Linked DNA regions of Caenorhabditis elegans. The protein of the gene in region 1 purifies or fractionates together with the protein of each later gene. This does not show direct contact. Each region holds a gene or a part of one and is shown on either strand. Other genes may lie near its edges.

The links.
Region 2: the proteins of cisd-3.2 (region 1) and nuo-5 fractionate together in Caenorhabditis elegans (co-fractionation; one large-scale study listed by BioGRID). This does not show direct contact.

Annotation. Positions count from the first base shown.
Region 1 is NC_003281.10:1,537,784-1,545,097, forward strand, and holds cisd-3.2 (Iron-binding zinc finger CDGSH type domain-containing protein), read left to right. Parts: upstream 1-2,709; 5' UTR 2,710-2,722; coding exon 2,723-2,767; intron 2,768-2,934; coding exon 2,935-3,096; intron 3,097-4,142; coding exon 4,143-4,286; intron 4,287-5,401; coding exon 5,402-5,521; 3' UTR 5,522-5,665; downstream 5,666-7,314. Other genes in the region: mtg-1 (CP-type G domain-containing protein), read left to right, coding at 143-345; Y67D2.5 (N-acetyltransferase 9-like protein), read right to left, coding at 727-930, 1,643-1,816, 2,186-2,416; ddx-35 (putative ATP-dependent RNA helicase DHX35 homolog), read right to left, coding at 7,252-7,314.
Region 2 is NC_003283.11:2,695,933-2,702,851, reverse strand, and holds the start of nuo-5 (NADH-ubiquinone oxidoreductase 75 kDa subunit, mitochondrial), read right to left. Parts: upstream 3,881-6,919; 5' UTR 3,875-3,880; coding exon 3,782-3,874; intron 2,578-3,781; coding exon 1,825-2,577; intron 1-1,824. Other genes in the region: Y45G12B.2 (Zinc finger protein-like 1 homolog), read right to left, coding at 4,272-4,394, 5,399-5,702, 6,549-6,837.

The DNA.
Region 1 (7,314 bases):
ATCGAGTTTCGGGTGAAAATCGGCAGTAAAAACTGAGTTTTAGTGAGAAAAAAAACGAATTTTTATCAAATTTGGGCGAATTTGGACGTAAATTTTCGATTTTTTCCAGTGAAAAAACTCCAAAAACCTTTGATTTTTGCAGATATTTCGCCGAAACAGGCTCCAATTGATGATATTCAGCAAGTTTTGGCCCTAACTTGCGCTGCAAATGACTTTAGAATTCAACAAAGTATTGGAGAAAGATGGGATTTTGATCGAGCCGCCAAATATTTCATTCAACTCTACAGAAATCGAAAATTCAAGGATTCTTGCCTCGATAATGAGCATTTTTTGTATCGAAATTAGGAGATTTTTCGTTGATTTTTCATGTTTTTTGTTGTTATTTTTAGAAATATTTGATAAAAACTGCATTTTTAATGATTTTTCCCCATTAAAATCGGCAAAAAACGGGATAAAACCTCAATTGTAAGTAAAAAATTTGAATTCCCGGGCTGCTAAACAACACGCGCTGTGGCGTACTAGCGGAGTGTCGTAGTTTTTGGCGGAAAATTGGATTATCGAGTGGTTTTAAGGCTTTTATCTCAATTTTTTGATATATTTTGCATTAAAAAAAGCTTCTGAACACAGAATTTTGGAATTTTGTAAAAAATATAGTGAAAAAAATTTTTACAAAAAATTTTTTTTTTTTGAAAAACATTTATTTTCAATGTAAAAGTACACAAATAATTATTTATACTCCTTAATTTCTGCATTTTTCTCCAAAAAACTCGAAAATTCAGAAATCAATCGATTTTTCGGCAATTCAAATGTGAATTCCTTGAAAGCAGTGCTATAGCCGATTTGTTTGAATCCTAGTTTCTTCTTGAATAGGCTCAGGCTTGGTGTGTTGTCATCGGTAATTTTTACGCAGAATTGCTCGATTTTCAGATTCTGAAAAATTGAAAATTTTCGAAAAAAATATTTTTTTTGCTCATTTTTCAAAACTGTCAAAAACCATGTCAAAATTCTTATTCTCCTCATTTTCAGCTTCAAAATGACCCCCAACACGACCATATTCCGTTCAATTTGACAACCGACACAGCTGATATCGGTGCTACAGTAACCCGCGTGGCGAGACCCAAAATTTTCAAATTGCGCGGAACCAGGACATGATGGGGGTCATTTTGACGCTGAAAGTGTGGAGAACTCGAATTTCAGCTCAAAATCGAGAAATTTTGAAGAATAAAATTTTTCTGAAAAACAAAAAAAAATTCAATTTTTTTTCGAACTAAAATTTTTTTAATTTTCAAAACTGTCAAAAATCATGTTAAAATTCATATTCTCCACGTCACCAGCTTTAAATTGACCCCTACAAGCCTATGTTCCGCGCATTTTTCCCACCGACACAGCTGATATCGGTGCTACAGTAACCCGCGTGGCGAGACCTAAAATTTTCAAACTACGCGGAACCAGTGCGTGATGGGGGGTCATTTTGAAGCTGGGAGTGAGGAGAACTCGAATTTTTATAAAAGAAATTAGTTAGGAGAAATTTGACAAAAAAAATTCTGAAAAAAAAAATTGTTTCAGAATTTTTTTTCAAAATTTTTTTTTCAACTTTTACATCCAACAAAAACTTTTTTTTAGAAGAAAAAAAGTATTTTACCTCATACGCCCACGCAATAATAACCCTCACAGCCTCCTCTCCAATGCCTTTTCCTCTGCCACGTGGCTCCGCTATCATAACCTCTACCTCACCAGTGATGACGTCATCGCTAGGGTTTTCAGTGGACGGTGACGTGGAAATGAACAAATTCACATCGCCAAGCATGTGATCTACCTGAAATTTCGGAAAATTTCCAAAAAAAAAATCGGAAAAAAACACACTTTTCTTTTCGAAAATGCAAAAATTTTTGATAAAAACAGAATTTTTAGTGATTTTTCACATTGAAATCGGCAAAAAAGTGTAAAAAACCCCAATTTTAAGTCAAAAATTTGAATTCGCGGGTGACCAGCGCTAAACAACACGCGCTGTGGCGTACTAGGAGTGTCGTAGTTTTTGGCGGAAAAGTCGATTTTCGAGTGGTTATAATGCTATTTTCCCAATTTTTTGGTCTATTTTTAATTCAAAACGGTTCTGAGCCCGTGAATTTCAAATTTTTGGAGGCAAAAACTTGAAAAAAACGGGGTTTTCCTGAAAAATCCCTACTTCTTCTCCACTTTCATTCATTTCAAGAACGATAAACGTTAGTTTATCCTCATCATTTCGCCAAGTTTTCTGCATTTCATATTCCTCATCCAACGACAATTGTTCAGAGCCGGTGAGTCGGCGAATCTCCTCGTTTTCCATCCATTTGTGGTATTTTGCAACGTGGCACGGCTCGTACGGCACTAAAATGCACTTTTTTGCGACGATTTTCACGTTGGAATTGAGTTTCATTGCCTGGAATATCGAAAAATGCGAGAAATTCGAGGAAAATCATGTAAAAACGCCGGAAAATGAAAAAAATTATATAAATTCCCGTGGCCGCGGCCTAGAAATCCCAACTGTTTCTCACTGGAGCGCGCTTGCTCGCTCCACGGGCAAATTTGTTTTCAGCCATTTTTAGTGATTTTCCTCTGAAAATCCGTGGTTTTTCACGATTTTTTCGCTTAAAATATTGAAAAATCATGAATTTGTATGCGAAAATCCATTAAAAACCTATTTTTCACCTCAAAAACCTCGATTTTCAGGTCGAATTGAGCCATGCTCGGAAGAACGTGCCAAAAGCTTCAGGCAGCCGCGCCGATTGTGAGTTATTAGTGGAAAATTGTCAATTTCGACTGAAAAAGCTGGAAAAGTCGTGGAAAATCAATCAAAATCGCTGAAATTTTTTTTTCTGCGAAAAAATCCCGATTTTTGCCAGATTTTCACCAATTTCCGCGAAAAATCACTGAAAAAAATTTCAAAATTTCCAGCAATCATCGATTCGTGGAAAAGCACGTGGCGTCGTTGTTCAAAGCTATTCTGCAGACGTTTTGCCGTACAAAGGGCAGCCAGCAGGCACAAAGTCGAATCGTGTGAAGCTTGAAGCCGGAAAAACGTATCATTGGTGCTCATGCGGGTTGAGCATCACTCAGGTGCTTATTTTCGAGCATTTTCTCATGGAAATCGTCGAAAAACAGCTAAAATGCCGAAAAAATCGCGGAAAATTGATAAAATTTAGCTATTTTAGGCTTAAAATGGCGCCTATGTGCCTTTAAAGTCGTGATGAAACCCAAAATTTTGTTAAACGTGAATGCTAGTGAAAAAATTACAAAAAAAGCTCATTTTTGCTCAAATTTTAATCAATATTCTAGAAAAATCCAACATTTTTCGAAAATTACCCTAATTTTCCCGGAAAAAGCTCAGACGGTCTATTTTTGTTACGAAAAACGCTGGAAATAAAGATTTTTTGCGATTTTCTGCTCAAAAATTTGGTTATTGCAGCTATAATTAACGAATTTTGCCCTAAAATTAGAATTCCGGTCATTTTTCGCGTTTAAATATTTTTAATCACATTTCTAGTGATTTTGCCCAAATTTTCAGTTAAAAATTAAGTTTTTCACTCATTTTTACCCCTAGAAATTGGTTTTTTCGCTCAAAATAGATTGGCGGCCTAACTTTTGGGATTTCTAGGCCACCAATCTGAAAACGAAAAATCTTCTAAAAATCGATAATTCCCCTGTGACTTGTGCGTTTCTCAGATTTCTGGCATAAATACTGTGTTTATTCACATTTTCAGTCTTAAATTGGCTGAAAATGTGAATAAATACCGTATTTCTGCCAACAATTTGGCAATAGAGCACATTTGTCACTCGGACATGCGGAAGCTATGCCCAAATTTTCAATGATTTTCACACATTTTCACACATTTTCAGTACAAAATTCGAGTTCTCCATCACATTTTCCCCCCCTAACCCGATTTTCAGTCAATTTAGACTAATTGTCGTAAAGTTCGGTGCCAAGTACGCAAGGCACTCGGTGTTTGCGTACTTTTGGGACTACCGTACCCCTCGAAATTCAAATTTAAATCTAGAGACCCAGAAAAAGGGTGCTAGGCGTGTGAAATTCGACGACGATTTTAACACTGAAAAATGCCTTAAAAAACCGGAAAATTCCTGAAAAATCCAAAAATTTTTTGCAGCCATTCTGCGACGGAACCCACAAAACGCCCGGATTAACCAACGTTCGCCCCGTCAGTTTTCAAGTTGAAAAAACTGGAATTTATCCAATGTGTGACTGCAAACAGACTGGAACTCGACCAATTTGCGATGGAAAACACGCTGATGTACGGGGAAAATGGGGAAAATTTCGAAGATTTTCACCTAAAAATCGAATTTCTCGCAAAATTTGAGATAAAAACTGGAAAAATCCCATTTTAATGAAATTTGGCTCAAAATTATGCAAATTCTGCTTGTTTTGACCAAAAAAATCCAATTTTTAAATAAATTCGTCAGAAAATCAATTTTCCGCCAAAAAACCCATGAAACTTCAAGAAAATTCAATTTTCCACAAAATTCGCCACTAAAATCATGAAATTTCAGGATTTTTGACCTAAAAATGGCAATTTTTCAAAAAAAAAAATCGTGATTTGCCACAAAATTTCAGTCAAAATCCAATTTTTAGCTCAAAAATTATGGAATTTAACGGAAGAGTCCAATAAATTCATGAAAAACTAAATTTTTGGCTTAAAAAATCGATTTTTCACTCACATTTGCTCAAAAATCATGAAATTTCCACATTTTCGACCTAAAAACGGCATAAAATGCCAATTTCCAGCCAAAAGCCAATTTTTAGCTGAAAAAATTGTGAATTTTACCAAGAAAATCATTAAATTCATGAAAAACTGAGTTTTTGGCTCAAAATTATCGATTTTCACTTACTTTGTCCCAAAAATCATGAAATTTCCAGATTTTTCACTTAAAAATGTCATTTTTCAGCCAAAAAGCCACTTTTTTGCTCAAAAATTGTCAATTTAACGGAAAATATCATAAAATTCATGAAAAATTGATTTTTCAGCTTAAAAATGTCGATTTCTTACTAATTTTATCTCAAAAACCACGAAATTTTCAGATTTTTAACGTAAAAACGTCATTTTTCAACCAAAATCCAGAATTTTAGCTCAAAAATTGCGAATTTAACGGGAATTATCATAAAATTATAAAAAATTCAATTTTCACTAATTTTGGCTAAAAAATCATGAATTTTTATGATTTTTGTTTTAAAACGCCAATTTTCAGCCAAAAATCCAAATTTTTAGCTCAAAAATTGCGAATTTAACGGGAATTATCATAAAATTTATAAAAAATTCAATTTTCACTAATTTTGGCTGAAAAATCATGAATTTTTATGATTTTTACCCTAAAAACCTCAATTTTCAGCCAAAAATCCCAATTTTTTCAGGTATCCAAAGCTCCACGTGATCTAAACGCTACGAGAATGGTTGCATTCGACGAATCGCCAGTTTACGCAGGAGTTGCTCAAAAATTGGGATATAAGCCGAAAAATGGTGGATTCCAGTAGTCCGGAGACTACGCTGAGACAGCAGCCGAAATCAAAAAAAGTACCAGAAAAACTGAAAGCAGTAGATTTTTTTTTATTGGAAAAAATTTTTTAGGGGTTTTTTCCCGATTTTTAATGTGTGAATAAAGTAATTTTTAAGTGAAAAATCGATTTTTCTGGTGCAAAGAAATCGATAATTTCGGAAAAAATCGATTTTATTACCGGAAAGTCGATAATTTTCGATTTTTTCGGTGTTTGCGTACTTTTCGAGGTACAGTACCCCCCCTAATTTTCAGGAAAATCGATTTTTTTTTCGACTAAAAATCGATAATTTTTGGCAATTATCGATTTTTGAACAGAAAAAAACACGAAAATTTTTGGAATTTCCAGGGTTTTGCGTACTTTTCAAGGTACAGTCCCCCCTAGAAGTTCATATTTTTTAATTTCCCGGGTTACTGTAGCTGCTGGAAAAGTACGCAAACACTGAGAAATAATCCAAAAATTATCGATTTTTCGGTTCAAAAATCGATAATTTCGGAAAATATCGATTTTAGAAACGAAAAAACAAAAATTTCCAATATTTTCAGGTTTTGAACTGCAAAAATTCAACTTTATCGTATTTTGCGTAGTACTTTTGGGGCTACAGTAACCCCCGGGAAATTTGAAAATTCGAATTTTCGAGTTCTGAACTTTAAAAATATGCGAAAAATGGAATATTTGTATTGGTTTTCTGAAAAATTTCGATTTTTGTACTGAAAAAACCGAAAATTTGGCAATATTTCGGTGTTTGCGTACTTTCGGAGCTACAGTACCCCCTAGAATATCAGAATTTCAAAAATATTGATTTTTCGACCGAAAATTCAATTTTTTTTCAATTTTCGGGTTACTGTAGATTGAAAAGTACGCAAACACCGAGAAATTACAAAAATTATCGATTTTTGTACCGAAAAATGAAACGTTTTGGAATTTTCGGTGCTCGCGTACTGTTCCAGCTACAGTAACCGGAAAATTTTAGAAATTTCCGGAAAAGTGGTTCAAATCTGTTGAAAATCTTTTTTTCGGATCAAAAATCGATAATTTTTAGATTTTTCGGTGTTTGCGTACTTTTGGAGCTACAGTAACCCGAAAAATTCGAACTTTTCGCATAAAAAATCGATAATTTGTGAAATTATCGATCTTTGTACCGAAAAATTTGAAATTTTCCAATTTTTCACATTTTAAACTGCAAAAATTCAAATTAATCGTATTTTGCGTACTTTTGGGGCTACAGTAACCCCCGGGAAATTTGAAAATTCGAAGTTCTGAACTTTAAAAAATGCGAAAAATGGAATTTTTGTATTGGTTTTCTGAAAAAACTACGATTTTTGTGCCGAAAAATCGAAAAGTGGGCAATTTTTCGGTGTTTGCGTACTTTTCGAGCTACAGTAACCCGAAGAATTTGGAGTTTCCTAAAAAAAACCGAATTTTTCGTATCAAAAAATCGATAATTTGAGAAATTTTGCAAATAATTGATTTTTGAACTGAAAAATTCGAAAATTTCTCATTTTTCCAGACTTTTGGGGGGCTACAGTAACCTGAAAATTCGAATTTTTCAGAAAATTTCGAAAAAAAAAATTTTTTTTTTGGTTTTTTTCTGCAAAAATATTGATTTTTTCGGAAAATTTTTTAGTTTTTTCAGTTTTTCATCAATATTTCAACCAACAACACACACTTAAAAAATCAATAATAAATAAAATTTTAAAAAATTCGAATTAATAATCATCGTCAGCGGCGGCGGAGGTGGCAGCAGGACCCCTCATTCTCTTCTCGGCGAG
Region 2 (6,919 bases), on another chromosome or scaffold:
TTTGGTTTTTTCGGATTTATTTTTCGTTTTTTTTTTTTAGTAGAAATCATTACGCAATCAAAAATTTTTTGGTAATCCGAAAATTATCGAGCTCGCGAAAATTATGAAAATGAGCAAAAACATATAATTTTCTTCAAAAAATTATAGGAAAAATGGGGCCAAAATTATATGCTTCTTGGTTTTTTTTAACGGAAAAATCGCATTTATTTTAAGAAATTTTTTTTCGATTTGTAGCAACTCGAAAAAGTGAAATTTTCCGATTTTCCAGATTCAATTTTTGTTTTTGCAAAAAAACGGAAAAAAAAATTCGCATTTTCGAATTTTTCTGACATTTTTTCGGTTTTTTTTCGTTTTTTTTGTCGGAGCACTACGGAATCGAAATTTTCCGGTAAATTTTGAAACAACACCTTAAAAAACAGGGATTCGTAAAAATCAAAAAATTTTCTGTATTTCAAGGAAAAAATTTAATTTTCGTAAAATAGCTGAAAATGTGGCCATTTTTCATCTTTTTTTCGAAGAATATTGTAAGTTTTTTATTTTAATATCGAAAATTCTTAGTTTTCGAATTGTTATATACCTAAATTTGAAAATTTGAAAAAAAATAGTTTTTTTCCCCGGAAATACAAAAAGTAACATTTTTTCTCTGAAAAAATCGATAAAAAATCAGTTTTTTGCTCATTTTTAAAGTCTAGTCGTTTGAAAATTTTCTGAGCTCTGTTTCGCATTGGGAAAATTTGGTAATTTTCCACTTTTTTGAAGAAAATTATGTTTTTTCTTTTGAAATTCGATATTTTTCGATTTTCTCTGGAAAAAAATCGGAAAAAAAAATTGAAAGTTGTATAATAGTTCGGAAAAAAATTTTCCGGCAAATATCTACTTTAAATGAATTTATTTATCGAAAATAAGCTTTTTAAGTTATTTTCAGAAAATTAGATTTTTTTTTTGATTTTCTCTGAAAAAAAAATCGATTTTTACCGATAACAGCTCAAAAAGCATTAAAAATTCATAAAAAGTAAAATGTTGCCGAACAATTTTTTATTCCAAACCAGGGGTGTGCGGCAAATTTGCCGATTTGCCGAAAATTGCCGACTTGCCGAATTCGGCAAATTTAAAAAAACCAGCAATTGCCGATTTGCCGAGCTCGGCAATTTTCAAAAAAGTAGATTTTCCGAATTTGCCGAGCTCGGCAAATTTCGAAATTTGCCGCACACGTGAAAAATTTGACAGTACAATTTTGAATAAAACTATTGATTTTTTAGCCAAAAATTTAGTAAAATGACACAAAATTGAGCTATTTTGATGCTTAAACAGACATACTACGCGGAACTTATTCAGAAACCAGATGTGTGTTAAGAATTCAGTAGTTTTGGTGCTCCACAAAACATAAAAAATATCAAATTTTTCCGAGTTTGTTAAGCACGGCAAATTTGCCGAATTTGCCGAATTTGCCGAGCTCTGCAAATTTGCCGAATTTGCCGTGCTCGGCAAATATTGAAAAAAGAGATTTGCCGAATTTGCCGAGCTCGGCAAATTTTGAAAAACCAGCAATTGCCGATTTGCCGAGCTCGGCAATTTTTTCCATTTGCCGCACACCCCTGTTCCAAACTAGACTACACAATTTTCAACTTTTTAATTATCAAAATTCAAAAAATCTGTAAATTTTCGATTTTTTTCAGAGAAAATTGAAAAATATCGATTTTTTCTCCAAAAAAAGTGAAAAATGGCCAAAAATACAATTTTTTTTTCGACATTCGAAAAATATCGATTCTTCTTCAAAATTTTCAAAGCTATGTCTTCCAAAAAATTCGTTTCAAAACTCCGTACATCGTTGATTTTCGGAATAACCCGCAGAAGCTCGCCAGTCCGATGCGAAAGCACAATATTCGATCCGGTCGCATCCATCACATCAACACTTTCAGTCTTTCTAGTCTCCCAGGGCCGGGCCGTAAACGCGTACTGCTTGCTGGTAAGAGCTCCGACCGGACAAATATCGATAATATTCCCAGAGAGCTCTGAAGCAAAAAATTTCTCGACGTAGGTGCCAATTTGAAGATCTTGTCCTCGTCCGGTGGTGCCGAAATCCGGAAAAGCGGCCACTTCATTAGCGAATCGGACACATCGAGTACACTGAATACATCGAGTCATCACAGTTTTCACCAACGGCCCGATATTCTTATCCTCGAGAGCCCGTTTTCCATCGAATCTCGACTGAAGCCGCCCACGATCGGATCCGAAATTCATCGCCTGATCCTGTAGATCACATTCGCCACCTTGATCACAAATCGGGCAGTCGAGTGGATGGTTGTTGAGCATGAACTCCATCACCCCTTCGCGAGCTTTTTTCACGAAATCCGAGTTGGTTTTGACTTTCATTCCGTTCATGACAGGCATCGCACATGATGCGACAGGCTTCACCGACTTCTCCACCTCTACCAGACACATTCGGCAGTTTCCGGCAATTGAGAGACGGTCGTGATAGCAGAAGCGTGGGATGTCGACGCCGACGAGCGCGCACGCTTGGAGAATCGTCATTCCCGGGTCGACGAGCACTTTTTTGTCGTCGATGAAGACTTCGACCTGGAAGAAAATGAGGTGATTTTTAGTGGTTTTTTTGTTGATTTTTACAGGGAAAATCGAAAAATTTCGATTTTTTTTATTTGAAAATCGAAAAAAAATTTTTTTTTTAAGTTTTTTGTTTTCGGAAAATGGAAGAAATTTGTTTCGTTTTTTTTTTTTTTTAATTGAAAAAAATGTTGGGTTTTTAGGTTCCGGAAAATCGAAAAATATATATTTACGATATATTTTTAAAAATTGAAAAAAAAACGAATTTTCGATTTTTTACAGGAAAAATCATCGAAAAAATTCTGATTTTTTGAACTGAAAGCTAAATTTTTAGATTTTTTACAGGAAAATTAGATTTTTTAAAATTGAAAAACGTAATTTTTCGATTTTTTTTTAATTGAAAAACGTGCTTTTTTCATTTTATGTTTTTTTTGTTGATAAATTTAAAAACGAAATGTTTCGATCATTTTAATTGAAAAAAAAAATTAGATTTTTTACAGGAAAAATCGAATAATTTTTATTTTTTTGTAAAAAAAATTGTCAGAGAAAATCGAGCATTTAAAAAAAAATTCGATGTTTACAGGAAAAATCGAAAAAATTCCGATTTTTGAACCGAAAAACTAAATTTTTGATTTTTTTACAGGAAATAACGATTTTTTTTTCAATTGAAAAACGAAGAAATTTAGATTTTTGTTTAAATTAAATAACGTACTTTTTCGATTTGTTCTTTTTTCGGAAATTAAAAAAACTAAATTTTCCGTTTTTTAAAGGAAAAATCTAAAAATTTTTGATTTTTCGAACCGAAAAACGGAATTTTTCGATTTTTTTAATTGAAAAACGAAAACATTTTTGATTTTAGTAAAACATCATTGCACCATGTATTTTGTAAAATTTTCAATTAATAATTAGTGCCAAAATATAGAAAATCACTCGATTCATCGAGAAAATCACATTAATTTCGGATGAAACAGTTGAGAAAAAGCTCAAAACTGTCTTTTTGAGCGCTTTCTCCAACATTTCAGCTAAAATCAAAGTGATTTTCCGATAAATCGAGCGATTTTCTATATTCTGGCACTAATTTTAAATGGAAAATGATGGAAAATTGGAGATTGTAGATGAAATTAAGCTTTTTTTTTGAATTTCTCGCTAGTTAATTCGTTATTTTTTTGCCAAATCCATTTTTCTTCAATTTTTCCGCCGAAAATTCCAGTTTTTTCACCTTTTTCGGTGGAGCCGGAGCCGCCACCGAAAGCGATCTCTTCTGTTGAGCCTTCGACACTCCGCGGACAATTTGTCCACCGACGCGATGCATGGTGCTCTGAAATTGCAATTACTTCCTGAAATTTTTTCCGAAAAATTGAGAGAAAATAAATATAAATCTCGGTAGAAAATTAACCGAATTTCAATTTTTAGAGGAAAAAAAATCAATAAATACCATTTAAACCACCGAATATACAAGAAATAGGGCAAAAAAAAAGAATAAATAATTAATAATTAATTACAACCAAGTTTTAGCTAGTTTTAGCTAGTTTTTAGCGAAAAAAATCGAAAAAAATCAGAAAAAATCCCGTTTGTTAGCATCATTAGCAGGCGAAAGTAAAAATAAAAAATTTTTCGAAAAACTTTTTTTTTCGTTGGGGAATGAGTAGACATTGAATATTACACAGAAAGGGAAGGATATGCACATTTTTTTCAAAAAAAAAAATTTTTTAGACGTGTGGAAGACGAGAATCTTCGACGGCGACGCGAATATTCGGATTGGCCATTGGATCGAAAAGGGGGTCCGATGAGTGCTCGCCGCTGTATCCGGCACGCTTCATCACCATTATAATCTGGAAAAATACAATTTATTTGGAATTAAATGAAGTTAGAATCTAAATTTGCTTGATAAGACTCATAAACACTCAAAATTTGCTTAAAAAGCCATAAAATTCGCTCAAAAATACTCAAAATTCACTCAAAAAAAGTCAAACTTTGATCAAAAAGCCTTAACATTTCCTTCAAAAATACTCAAAAATTGCTCTAAAATACTCAAAAAATTGCTCAAAAAGACAATAAATTTGCTCAAAAAGCCTTAAAATTTGATCAAAATGACTCAAAATTTGCGAAATTTGATTAAAAACACTCAAAATTTGCTCAAAAAGCTCAAAATTCGCTTAAAAATACTCAAAATCGCTCAATTTTAGCTAAAATACACCAATTTCGCCGACTTTTCCGTGTCGCAGCGGTCGGAAATTGACTTATATTTTATTTTCATGAAATTTCATCGTTTATTTTATATTTTTATTGTTTATTACACATTTTTTCGCTATTTAATGTACATTTTAAGCCACACGGCAGACGTTGAGCGCAAAAAATTGTGGGCGGGGTCTGGACCGCAATTCTGCGGCGCGCGATTTCGCAACTCCGCCGCGCTGTTTTTTTGTCAGTCGAAATTTTTTTTTCATGAGATTTTATCGAAATATCTCGAAAAAATCACGATATACTGGAAATTTTATTCGAAAAATGCGAAAAAAAACTTAAAAACTTGTAAAAAATAGTCGCGCGGTGGAGTTGCGAAACATCGCGCCGCAGGATTGCGGTTTAGGCTCCGCCCTCACGTCGTTTTCGGTTTATATGCTTCAAATGTACACTAAATAACGAAAAAAACGTGAGAAAAACGATAAAAATTGAAAATAAACTGTGATAAAATCAAATAAAAGCGAATTTCCGACAGATGCAACACGGAAAAGTCGGCGAAATTGATGTATTTTAGCTAAAATTAGGCCATTTTTTCAGGGAAAAAATATTTTTTTGGCGTTTTTGAGTCTATAAAAGTCGCTTTTTAAAATCCAACCGTAATCAAAGCCAAAACGGCCAGGAAAATCACGAAAAGCGCGATTTTTTTCGCGGAAGCCCGTTCCTGTGGGACCCCGGAGCCGCCATGTTTTGCTCTCCAGAGCCCGCGCATCCAATCCATCGTCGGGCGCCGTTTATATTTATTCTCCTCGTTATCGGCGTCACGGAGCTGTAAAAGTGGACGAGTATCGCTTGAAGATTCGGCTCCGTAGTTCTTTTTTCGCGCAAAAGTGACGTCATTGTTGGAGACCGAGTAGGAAGCGGTGTCTTCCATTTCCAGATGGGTTGCGGGGGTGGAGGATCTGGAAAAAAATTAGAAATTTTGGGAAATTGCAAAAAAAAATGGGCCTTTCTTCAGACTTAGGTTTCTTTTTTTCGTTTTTTTTTCAAATTTTAACTTTAAAATTGGATTTTCTAACACTTTTTCACATAGAAAACGGCTTTTTACGTCGTAAATTGGCCTAAAATGCATTTTTATGTAGTTTAAACGATAAAAAATGAGAAAAAACGTGAGAAAATCGATTTTTAAGTTAAAATTTCGAAAAAAGACCCATTTTTTCGAATTTTTGAGCGGTTTTTTCGCGAAATTCGGTCATATTCACCTATTATTGTGAACTGGCGCCTCTTTGTGCATAACTGCTCAAAATTTGCTTCAAATTTTTCGAAATTAGTTCGAAAATGCTCGAAATTTGCTCAAAAATGTTTAAGATTTGCTCTAAAAAGCTCGAAATTTGCTCAAAAAACTCGAAACTTCCTCTAAAATGCTCTAAACATGCACTAACAAACTCAAAATTTGCTCAAAAATGCTAAAAACTTGATTAAAAAGCTAAAAATTGGCTCAAAAACTCAAAAATTATTCGAAAAACTGAGCATTTGCTTAAAAGGACTCGAAAGCCGCTCAAAATTCGCTCAAAAAAACTCAAAATTTGCTCGAAAACGTCGAAAATTGGCCTAAAATGCATTTTTTTTAAAATGTAGTTTAAACAATAATACTACGGAAAAACGAAGAAAAACTTCGAATTTTAGGTTAAAAAATCGAAAAAAGGCTCATTTTTTCGAAATTTTTCGCAATTTTTTAGTTAAAAATTCGAAAAAAGGTCTTTTGAACCGTTTTTTCGCAAAATTCGTTCATTTTAGCTAATATTCACCTATTATTGTGCACCGGGACCTCTTTATGCATAACTGGAGCATTTTTCAGCTGTGGCGGCGCCGGAGAAGGCACTGGCCGATTGAGTTCCGGAAGAGTCGGGAGCCCGAGCGCTGCTCTTGCCCAGTTGGACTGTTTCAGTTGCTCGCGGAGCTTCTCGATGAGTGGAGAGACTTCATTGATCGGTGGGAAGACTTCCTGACTGCAGCACGGGCATCGATAGCCGGCCGGGGCGGTCGTGGCCGGGAAATTTGCCGCCCACTCGTCGAAGCATTTCCAGTGGAGGAGATCTGTAAGAAAATTGGATTTTTTTTTGCACTAAAAATCGATATTTTTGAATATTTATTGCGTACCACCGCGGCCTTCTGGAGT